Arabidopsis thaliana: one gene and its partner. The protein of the gene in region 2 interacts with the protein of the main gene of each other region in a pairwise test. Each region holds a gene or a part of one and is shown on either strand. Other genes may lie near its edges.

Region 1 (4,242 bases), on a different chromosome or scaffold from region 2:
CTACAAGTTCTCTAATCACAACTGCAGTTAACTAGATACATCATGTTCTTCTTCAGCTATCGTTTCACTTTGGTGGTCTGTACCGATAGCAGCACACAATGCTTTCCAAATGGGAACCAACATCTTCAATGGAGGACGCAGTTCCTGTCCAAAGAGGAAATTGAACTCAAAATCAATTGCTATAAGTAATATTCCCGAATTGAATAATTGGTAACTCTAGATTGTTTCTCAAAGTTGTCAGCAGAAGTTTTTCTCTCACAATGTAATGAAACAAACTGGTGCCATTACCTTAAACACCAATGTAAGTTGTTCTTCACCACGAAGAAATAAAGAGAGACTCCAGTAACACGTAATGGGAGTGACACATTCGACCAACACAGGCTTCAAAATCTTGTCAATAGGGATAAACCTGGAGACAGTTTTTCCACTGCAAAGCAGAAGCATGCACAAAAAAGTAGGTACTTGTATGATTGGTAAAACTTAAAAGCATAGATCATAATGGTTCATGATAATTACAACAAATTCAACCATTACCACCTATCTTAGAGACCACTAATACGGAGTAGTTCAAAGCATTAAGCCATCATGGAGTGCAGACAACAGAATACTAACTAAATGGATAAAGCATACCTTAAATATTGAGTTTCAAGTTGGATCCCGAAGGTTGGCAAGATTATCACAGATTCTGAAGAAATCAAAGAAAAGCTAGAATTAGTTAAAACGTGAAGCTGATATCATTTGGTAAGCCTGTAAAGCGTGTATCAGGATGAACCAGGATCTCACCTTTCTTGACGAACTTGCGACTATGTAGCATAACCAAGAAACCACTTAAAAGGCAGCCCCAAGAAAGAGTTCTAGCTGGATTGTCCTGTTTCATGTGAATTATCCCTTTCAACTTAAGTGAAGAAGAAACAAATGGAACAACAACAAAACAAGCTTGTAAAGTAACACAAAAAAAGAAAAGTGCTTTTATACAAACCTTGTCATGTATTAACATAATGCTCACAACAGAATGAAAATATCAAACTATACTCCATCACCAATCCTAAGAAACAAAATGGTATGCCTTTCTCATGATATGTACTAGCAACACTTGTTCTAAGCAATGCATCAGAATCACTCAAATGTCAAGCAGATTCACATCAAAATAACAAACGGCAACAACCAAATTTTCTCTAAGAGCATAATTACCTTTCCAAGCAAAAAGTACATAGAACTCGCCAGAAACACAAGGAAGAAACCAAGCCCCCAACGACGGGCATAACCAGTTCCGCTGCTTCCGTTGATAATCACATGGTGAATATCAATGGCTTCTCTAGTTGACTTACTTCCACTTTCGTGTATGTAAGTGTATCTCTTATTCGAAACAGACAAGCTCACCATTTCAAAGCTAGTTTAGTTGAAAAACAGTCAAATGTATCACCGTCGTTTTACTCCCAACTCATATACGAACCTGCCCAAGGTTAGCTTTCTCAATACCCAAGTAACAATTTTCAAACTTTGAGTCTCAGTCAAATCGGATAGCAACAAAACTTCTCTGCGGCTTTCCGTCGAACACCATGCGTGCGTTATAATAACCCCTCTTGAAATCTCATAAATCTCTCTAACTATCTCCACACAACTTCCTCGAAAACACAGTAGCAATCTATCAAAAAGGACGAAGCAAGGATTCACCCAACGAACGAAAGCCACAATTCTTCGAATTGATCAAATCTGAAACCGGCTTCTCTTACCGGTAAAGAGATAAAAGACGGCACTATGGTGGAGGAGACAACAAAAAGCCAAAAGAGAGAAAATAATACAAACTGTGTGGCGTCCTAAATAAAACACCCTGGCGTTTTTGTTTTATTCATATTAACATCATGCCGTTTTCATCTCGACAATATAAAAACCTAGCTTATTTTTAAGGAAAGGTCAAATCTTAATTAGTTTTGATTTCTCTCTCCAGTACTTCTCGATTCGCCGGCGATCCGAATCTCATTCTTCTGCTTGTCGGAAAAAAAAACCCGTAATTTAAAGTGTGAAGCTTTCGGTTTGAATCATGCGTTGCAAGAGATGCAATGGAAGCAACTTTGAACGCGACGAAGACACGGGGAATTCGTATTGCGGTGGATGTGGGACATTACGAGAGTATGATAATTATGAGGCACAACTTGGCGGCATAAGAGGACCTCAAGGTACATATATACGAGTAGGCACCATTGGTAGAGGCTCTGTTCTTGATTATAAAGACAAGAAGATCTATGAAGCCAACAATTTAATTGAGGAGACAACAGAAAGATTGAATCTTGGTAATAAAACTGAAGTGATTAAGAGTATGATTAGTAAGCTTACTGATGGGGAATTTGGACAAGGTGAGTGGTTCCCTATTTTGATTGGAGCTTGTTGTTATGCTGTGGTAAGAGAAGAAGGGAAAGGTGTTTTGTCTATGGAAGAGGTTGCTTATGAAGTTGGATGTGATTTGCATCAGTTAGGGCCTATGATTAAGCGTGTTGTGGATCATCTAGATTTGGAATTGCGAGAGTTTGATCTTGTGGGTTTGTTTACCAAGACGGTTACTAATTCACCGAGATTGACTGATGTTGATAGGGATAAGAAGGAGAAGATAATAAAGCAAGGGACTTTCCTGATGAATTGTGCGTTGAAATGGTTTTTGTCGACGGGGAGGAGACCAATGCCTTTGGTTGTGGCTGTTTTGGCGTTTGTTGTTCAAGTGAATGGTGTGAAGGTAAAGATTGATGATTTGGCGAAAGATGCTAGTGTTTCGTTGACTACTTGTAAAACGCGGTATAAAGAGTTATCTGAGAAGCTTGTGAAGGTTGCTGAAGAGGTGGGTTTGCCTTGGGCGAAAGATGTTACTGTGAAGAATGTTTTGAAACATTCAGGAACTTTGTTTGCTTTAATGGAAGCCAAGTCCATGAAAAAGAGAAAACAAGGGACTGGGAAAGAATTAGTTAGAACTGATGGATTTTGTGTGGAGGATTTAGTGATGGACTGCCTAAGCAAAGAATCTATGTATTGTTATGATGATGATGCTCGTCAAGATACTATGTCTCGGTATTTTGATGTAGAAGGTGAACGTCAGCTTAGTTTATGTAACTATGATGATAATATATCGGAGAATCAGTTGTCTACAAAGTATAATGAATTTGAGGATCGAGTTTGTGGTGGGACTCTTGCGAAAAGAAGTCAGGGAAGTAGTCAGAGTATGTGGCAAAGGAGATCTGTTTTTGGAATGGTGTCAACTGAAAATTGGTGGAAAGGGAAATCGGAATTGAGTAAAAGGCTTTTGCTCAAAGACTTGTTGGAGAAAGATGTAGGGCTTGAAGCTTTGCCTCCTTCTTACATAAAGGGTTGCGTTGCAGTTGAAAGACGAAGAGAAAAGATTAAGGCAGCTAAGTTGCGGATTAATGCAATACAACATCCTTCTGACAATGTTAGTGAAGGTGCGTTGTCTTTGGAGCTTGAACATAGCAAGAAGAAAAGGAAGAAAGGATCTGAAATTGATTGGGAGGATTTGGTTATACAGACTCTGGTCTTACACAATGTGAATGAGGAAGAAATAGAGAAAGGCCATTACAAAACTTTGTTAGACTTGCATGTTTTCAACTCTGGAGAGGTTTGAATTGAAATGTTTTTCTCTTGGAATTTTTTTATTTCTTACAGTATAATTCATTTAAGGATGTAAAAATCGTTCTGAATGCAGAAATTATCAAAGCAAGCATCACAAGACGATTCAACAATCCATGTAAATGTTTCTCTGAAAATGATTAATAAGATAAACTACTTGTTTCTTTAATAAGCCCTGAAAGAAACAATTTAAGAAAAACAAAAGTCTAATACTGCTTATGACTGACTACCAAATCCATTTCATTGATCTCTCTGATAATTAGAAGTTTCCTCAGCTTGTATTCAATCAGCCTGACATGCCATAATCTTCAACATGATCATAAAGGTTGTAACTTTCCGCCAGTCCCATCTTTCCAACAAGATGCTCATCCCCTACAAACACAAATCACAAGAAATTATCTGAGACAGACACAACTTACTTGACTATTTCTTCAAAGCCAATGTCTCTGTTTTTTTCAGTTACGTGTGAACTAAAAAGGTATCTTTGTTACTTACTTGGGTTTGATAGAACATCTAGCAAGTGAAGGTCTGAGCTAATCTCAGGGCTCTGAAAGCAAAGATCTTCAGGCCTAGGAGCAGTAGTTGTTGCTGTTGTTGTCCCTAACCCATTAT
Region 2 (3,699 bases):
AAACATGCACAATATATCATATCAGCAGTCAAACTTGATGAAATCCTTACTATGTTATCACATTTCTCAAATGCAGAGATAAAAGAAGGGGAACAAGAAGATGTTGCCTTTAAGCAGGTAGTTTCTTTATGCCTATAATTTCATAACTATAAGGTTATAATGTGACATTTTGTTACAAGAGATGGTAATTATTGGTATATTGTGGTTGGTAACTAAATTTATCGCGATGAATCTTGATGAACCGACGTTATTTGGTTATAAATGCAGGCATGGCTTATGTACTTCTGGGGTAGAGCCAAGTTGCATAGTGTGGAAGAAGACATTGCAGATGAACGTTTCCAGTTTTGGACCAGTCGTAGTGAAGGAAAATCTCCGACTTCACAAGATGCCGTTGACGGTAATAAACTTCTTCAATTGATTTCCCCTGTGTCCTAATTCTAGTTTTAATAACACATTAACTTGTTCTCTTTACAGTGGAACGAGGTTTGTTAGAGCTAAGGAAACTAGGAGTAGAGCAACAATTATGGGAAGCTTGTCGCAAAGAAACAGATCAGCTTCTTCCATCTTCTTCTCCGACATCTACTCTTTCAAATCACAACCTTGACTCTTAATTTAAAGATATCAATAGCATTATTCTCTATTGTATAACCGAAAAAACAAATCATCATAATCTAAAATCTTAAGTTTTAAACCCAAAAAAAAAAAAAAAAAGAGAGTGCTAAAAGTCTAACCATTTCTGAAAATAAACACATGTAGTGGGAGAGATAACACCATCAGGTGAACAGATCGCTATATGCGGACAAACCCCGCAAGGAATCGAAGCAAAAGCTCCAGCTCTCGGTTCGCCATTACCGAACTTTTTCCCGGTCAACCTGTAGCAAACTTCTCCGATTCTCGTAGAAGCAAACTCATTCATTCCATTACTCTTCACCTCCATGATCAAATTATCCAAAATCAAGTTCTTAAGTATCTCCTTAGTCTGATCAACACTCAGCTTCTCCTCTTTAACAAAATACCCACACAAAACCTCCAAAGTAACAACCCTCTGCCTATGCCTCTCCAAAATCATCACACACTTGGCTTTCAAATCTTCGATTTTCGACAGGTCAAGAGCTCCATCAGTGTACCATTCACCACCAGTAAGTTCACTACAAGGCTCAAACTCCATTGCAAGATAATGTTTGACACCTTTGTTGTTCATGTTTGCTACTTCTTTGATGAGATTCTTCTTCCGTAGAGAAGCGATCAATCGAGTAACTATAGTTGCTGGGATCGTTTTCTCGCGTTTCAATTCGAACATAGTTGCGCCTCTTCCTTGGTTTATTCGAATCAGATCCAGAAGCTTCTTCTCGTGTGGCTCGTTTAGATCACCTCCCGATGATTTCGGATCCGGACGTTTTCGTTTACTCATTCTTACAAATTCACCAAACTGCAAAAATCAATCGGAATTGTGACACGGTAATTGAGAGAATTCGTGTGATTTACGAAAAGGATTGATCTATACTATAAGAAGGTGATAAAATCGATGATTCTGAGATTACAAAGGATTTTGGTGAAGATTCAGATTCAATTTACCTGGAGATTGGTTTACTGGAGATGAACAATCCGATGAATATAGAGGCTTTAGGAGAGTTCAGAGAACGGAGAAGTCGTCCGTGACTGGAACGGATACGAAAACCCTAGGTCTGCTTTTAGCTAAATATATAAGACAGAGAAGAAAGTCAAATATATTAGTGTGGGCCTAAACTAATACACAACAAAAGGTAACTCGAAGTGGATTGGTACATATTGTTCAGGATTTTTGTTAATTCAATATGAGATTTCGCTATACAAGTTGGTTTAGATAAAAACATGTAGATTAAAAATATTTATTTTTAAAAAATTCAATTTATTTTTTAAAAATAGAAATAATTATAAAGTATTAAAATAATATATAATTTGCATAAAATTTTGAAAATAATTTATATTGTAAAACAAAAAATTTGGTCCAAAACAATTTATATTGTAAAACAAAGAAAGTATATATTTTTGATTTTTTACTAATATTTATGCTTATTAATTTTCAGAAATAAGTTGACAAAAAAATTCTATAAATATTTTATTTTATTAGACTGAACTTTTTCAGATTAAACCATAAACTTTAGTGAATATTTTTTAAAATCTAAAACCATTTTTGTATAAATGTTGTTGATTTCGACCGAAATAGTTTCATACAAAATATAGTTTTAAATAATAACACAAAACGGAAATAAAATAAAATTAGAAGACAGTTCTGTAAATAATAATATGTTTATTTTTTTAAATCTTGAATAATGAGAATAAAATGATCAGAGTCTTTATTACAATAATAAATTTATGAAATTAAATATCCGTCTTCTTTCTTCGTCCGACAAGTTCATATTAATTAAAGATACCTTGAGACTTTCCTCTTCTCAGATACAAAGCTGACATTTGAAGAAAAAGACATTTCTAAAATTAAACAGAACCTAAGCTTTTGCAATGGCGGAACCTGAGAAGAAGCGAGATCAACCATTTTCTCAAGTAATCATCCTTCATTTTTCCCCCACAAATTTAATAATCTATCATTATCACCCCCACCTTTTGCGTTCATCATTACCCCCACATTTATCTCTCCCTCTTTTCGCAGAGCCAGATTTTGATTTTGATTTTTTCCCCTTTTTCTCTGATCTGATATTATGGTGCTATCGCAGGAAAAAGACGAAGAGAAAGATCTATACCTTGTTCACGACGAGCACGAGTCTCCTCTTCCTCTCACCGTCACTTCTCGTGTAAATTTCTCCGATCCTAAATTCGTTTTAGGTTTTAGGGTTATATTAATAGTCTCGTCTTAAAAATTGGAAGACTTTTGGAATTTGCAGGTTTTGTACATGTTAGGAGATATAGCATCTGGTCCAGCTTATAGGTTTACTCAATGGTTGGATTTAGTTCGTAAACGAAGTGCTACTTACGGATCCTCTGGCTTCCCTCACCGCCTTCACCGCATCGATGATATGGTCACTAGGTTAACACTTTCTCTGACTTTTTGTCAAGTACTTGGTTTGTTGATTATGATTTTGGAATCTTATGAGTATATCAGAACAAAGGTTTCTAAATTAGGATATTAGTCTTCATGTCAGTTGATACAAGTATTATCCAGTGCAGGAGAGAGGAATACTGATCCTAAAAGTCCACCAAGTAGGCAGAGTTCAGAGATTAGTTTGTGGGAAAGGCTTGGTAAAGCTTCTACTGTGGATATTGATTCGAGCTGTTTTTCATGGAATATGTTGTCTTCACTTCATCATACTGAACATAGTAGTAGCACTGATCATTCTGAAGAAGACCAGAGTAAACCACTTGAGGTATATATATCATTATGATCTTGGACTGGTGATGCTAGGAGGATCTTTTGACACTATTAGATGTCTGTACAGGTTACTGTGAATTCTGGAGGAGTTGTTTTCTTTGCCCTGTTCAATAGTTCCAGCTCTGAAGATGCCTCTCGTAAGGAAGAAGCAGCAGTTATTAAATTTGCATCATCGAGGATGGCCACGCAATCAGAACGTCTAGGTTATGAGTTTTCCAAGTGGCTAGGGGTGCAGATTCCGCAGGTGCTTCTTTTCTTTCTTGTAGTTTTTTAAAAATGTAGTAATGGTTTTGCTCATTTCACTTTCTTTCTAGAATTTTCAAGTAATGAGTAAT

The links. The genes of interacting proteins can lie anywhere in the genome.
Region 1: the proteins of AT5G23710 (region 2) and AT4G35540 interact in a two-hybrid assay, tested with the Arabidopsis thaliana proteins (one study listed by BioGRID).

What each region holds. Positions count from the first base shown.
Region 1 is NC_003075.7:16,871,898-16,876,139, forward strand, and holds AT4G35540 (POLLEN-EXPRESSED TRANSCRIPTION FACTOR 2), read left to right. Parts: upstream 1-1,937; 5' UTR 1,938-2,041; coding exon 2,042-3,625; 3' UTR 3,626-3,701; downstream 3,702-4,242. Other genes in the region: AT4G35530 (phosphatidylinositolglycan-like protein), read right to left, coding at 28-144, 289-427, 631-685, 784-868, 1,192-1,383; WOX13 (WUSCHEL related homeobox 13), read right to left, coding at 3,917-4,002, 4,126-4,242. UniProt on the Arabidopsis thaliana protein: Plant-specific TFIIB-related protein that plays important roles in pollen germination and embryogenesis, possibly by regulating gene expression through interaction with TBP2 and the subunits of RNA polymerases. Binds double-stranded DNA in vitro.
Region 2 is NC_003076.8:7,995,810-7,999,508, forward strand, and holds AT5G23710 (DNA binding / DNA-directed RNA polymerase), read right to left. Parts: upstream 1,697-3,699; 5' UTR 1,576-1,696; exon of another isoform or gene 1,430-1,575; 5' UTR 1,412-1,429; coding exon 719-1,411; 3' UTR 612-718; downstream 1-611. Other genes in the region: AT5G23700 (coiled-coil protein), read left to right, coding at 1-117, 268-397, 475-611; PHS1 (dual specificity protein phosphatase family protein), read left to right, coding at 2,500-2,541, 2,712-2,789, 2,880-3,022, 3,158-3,359, 3,432-3,608.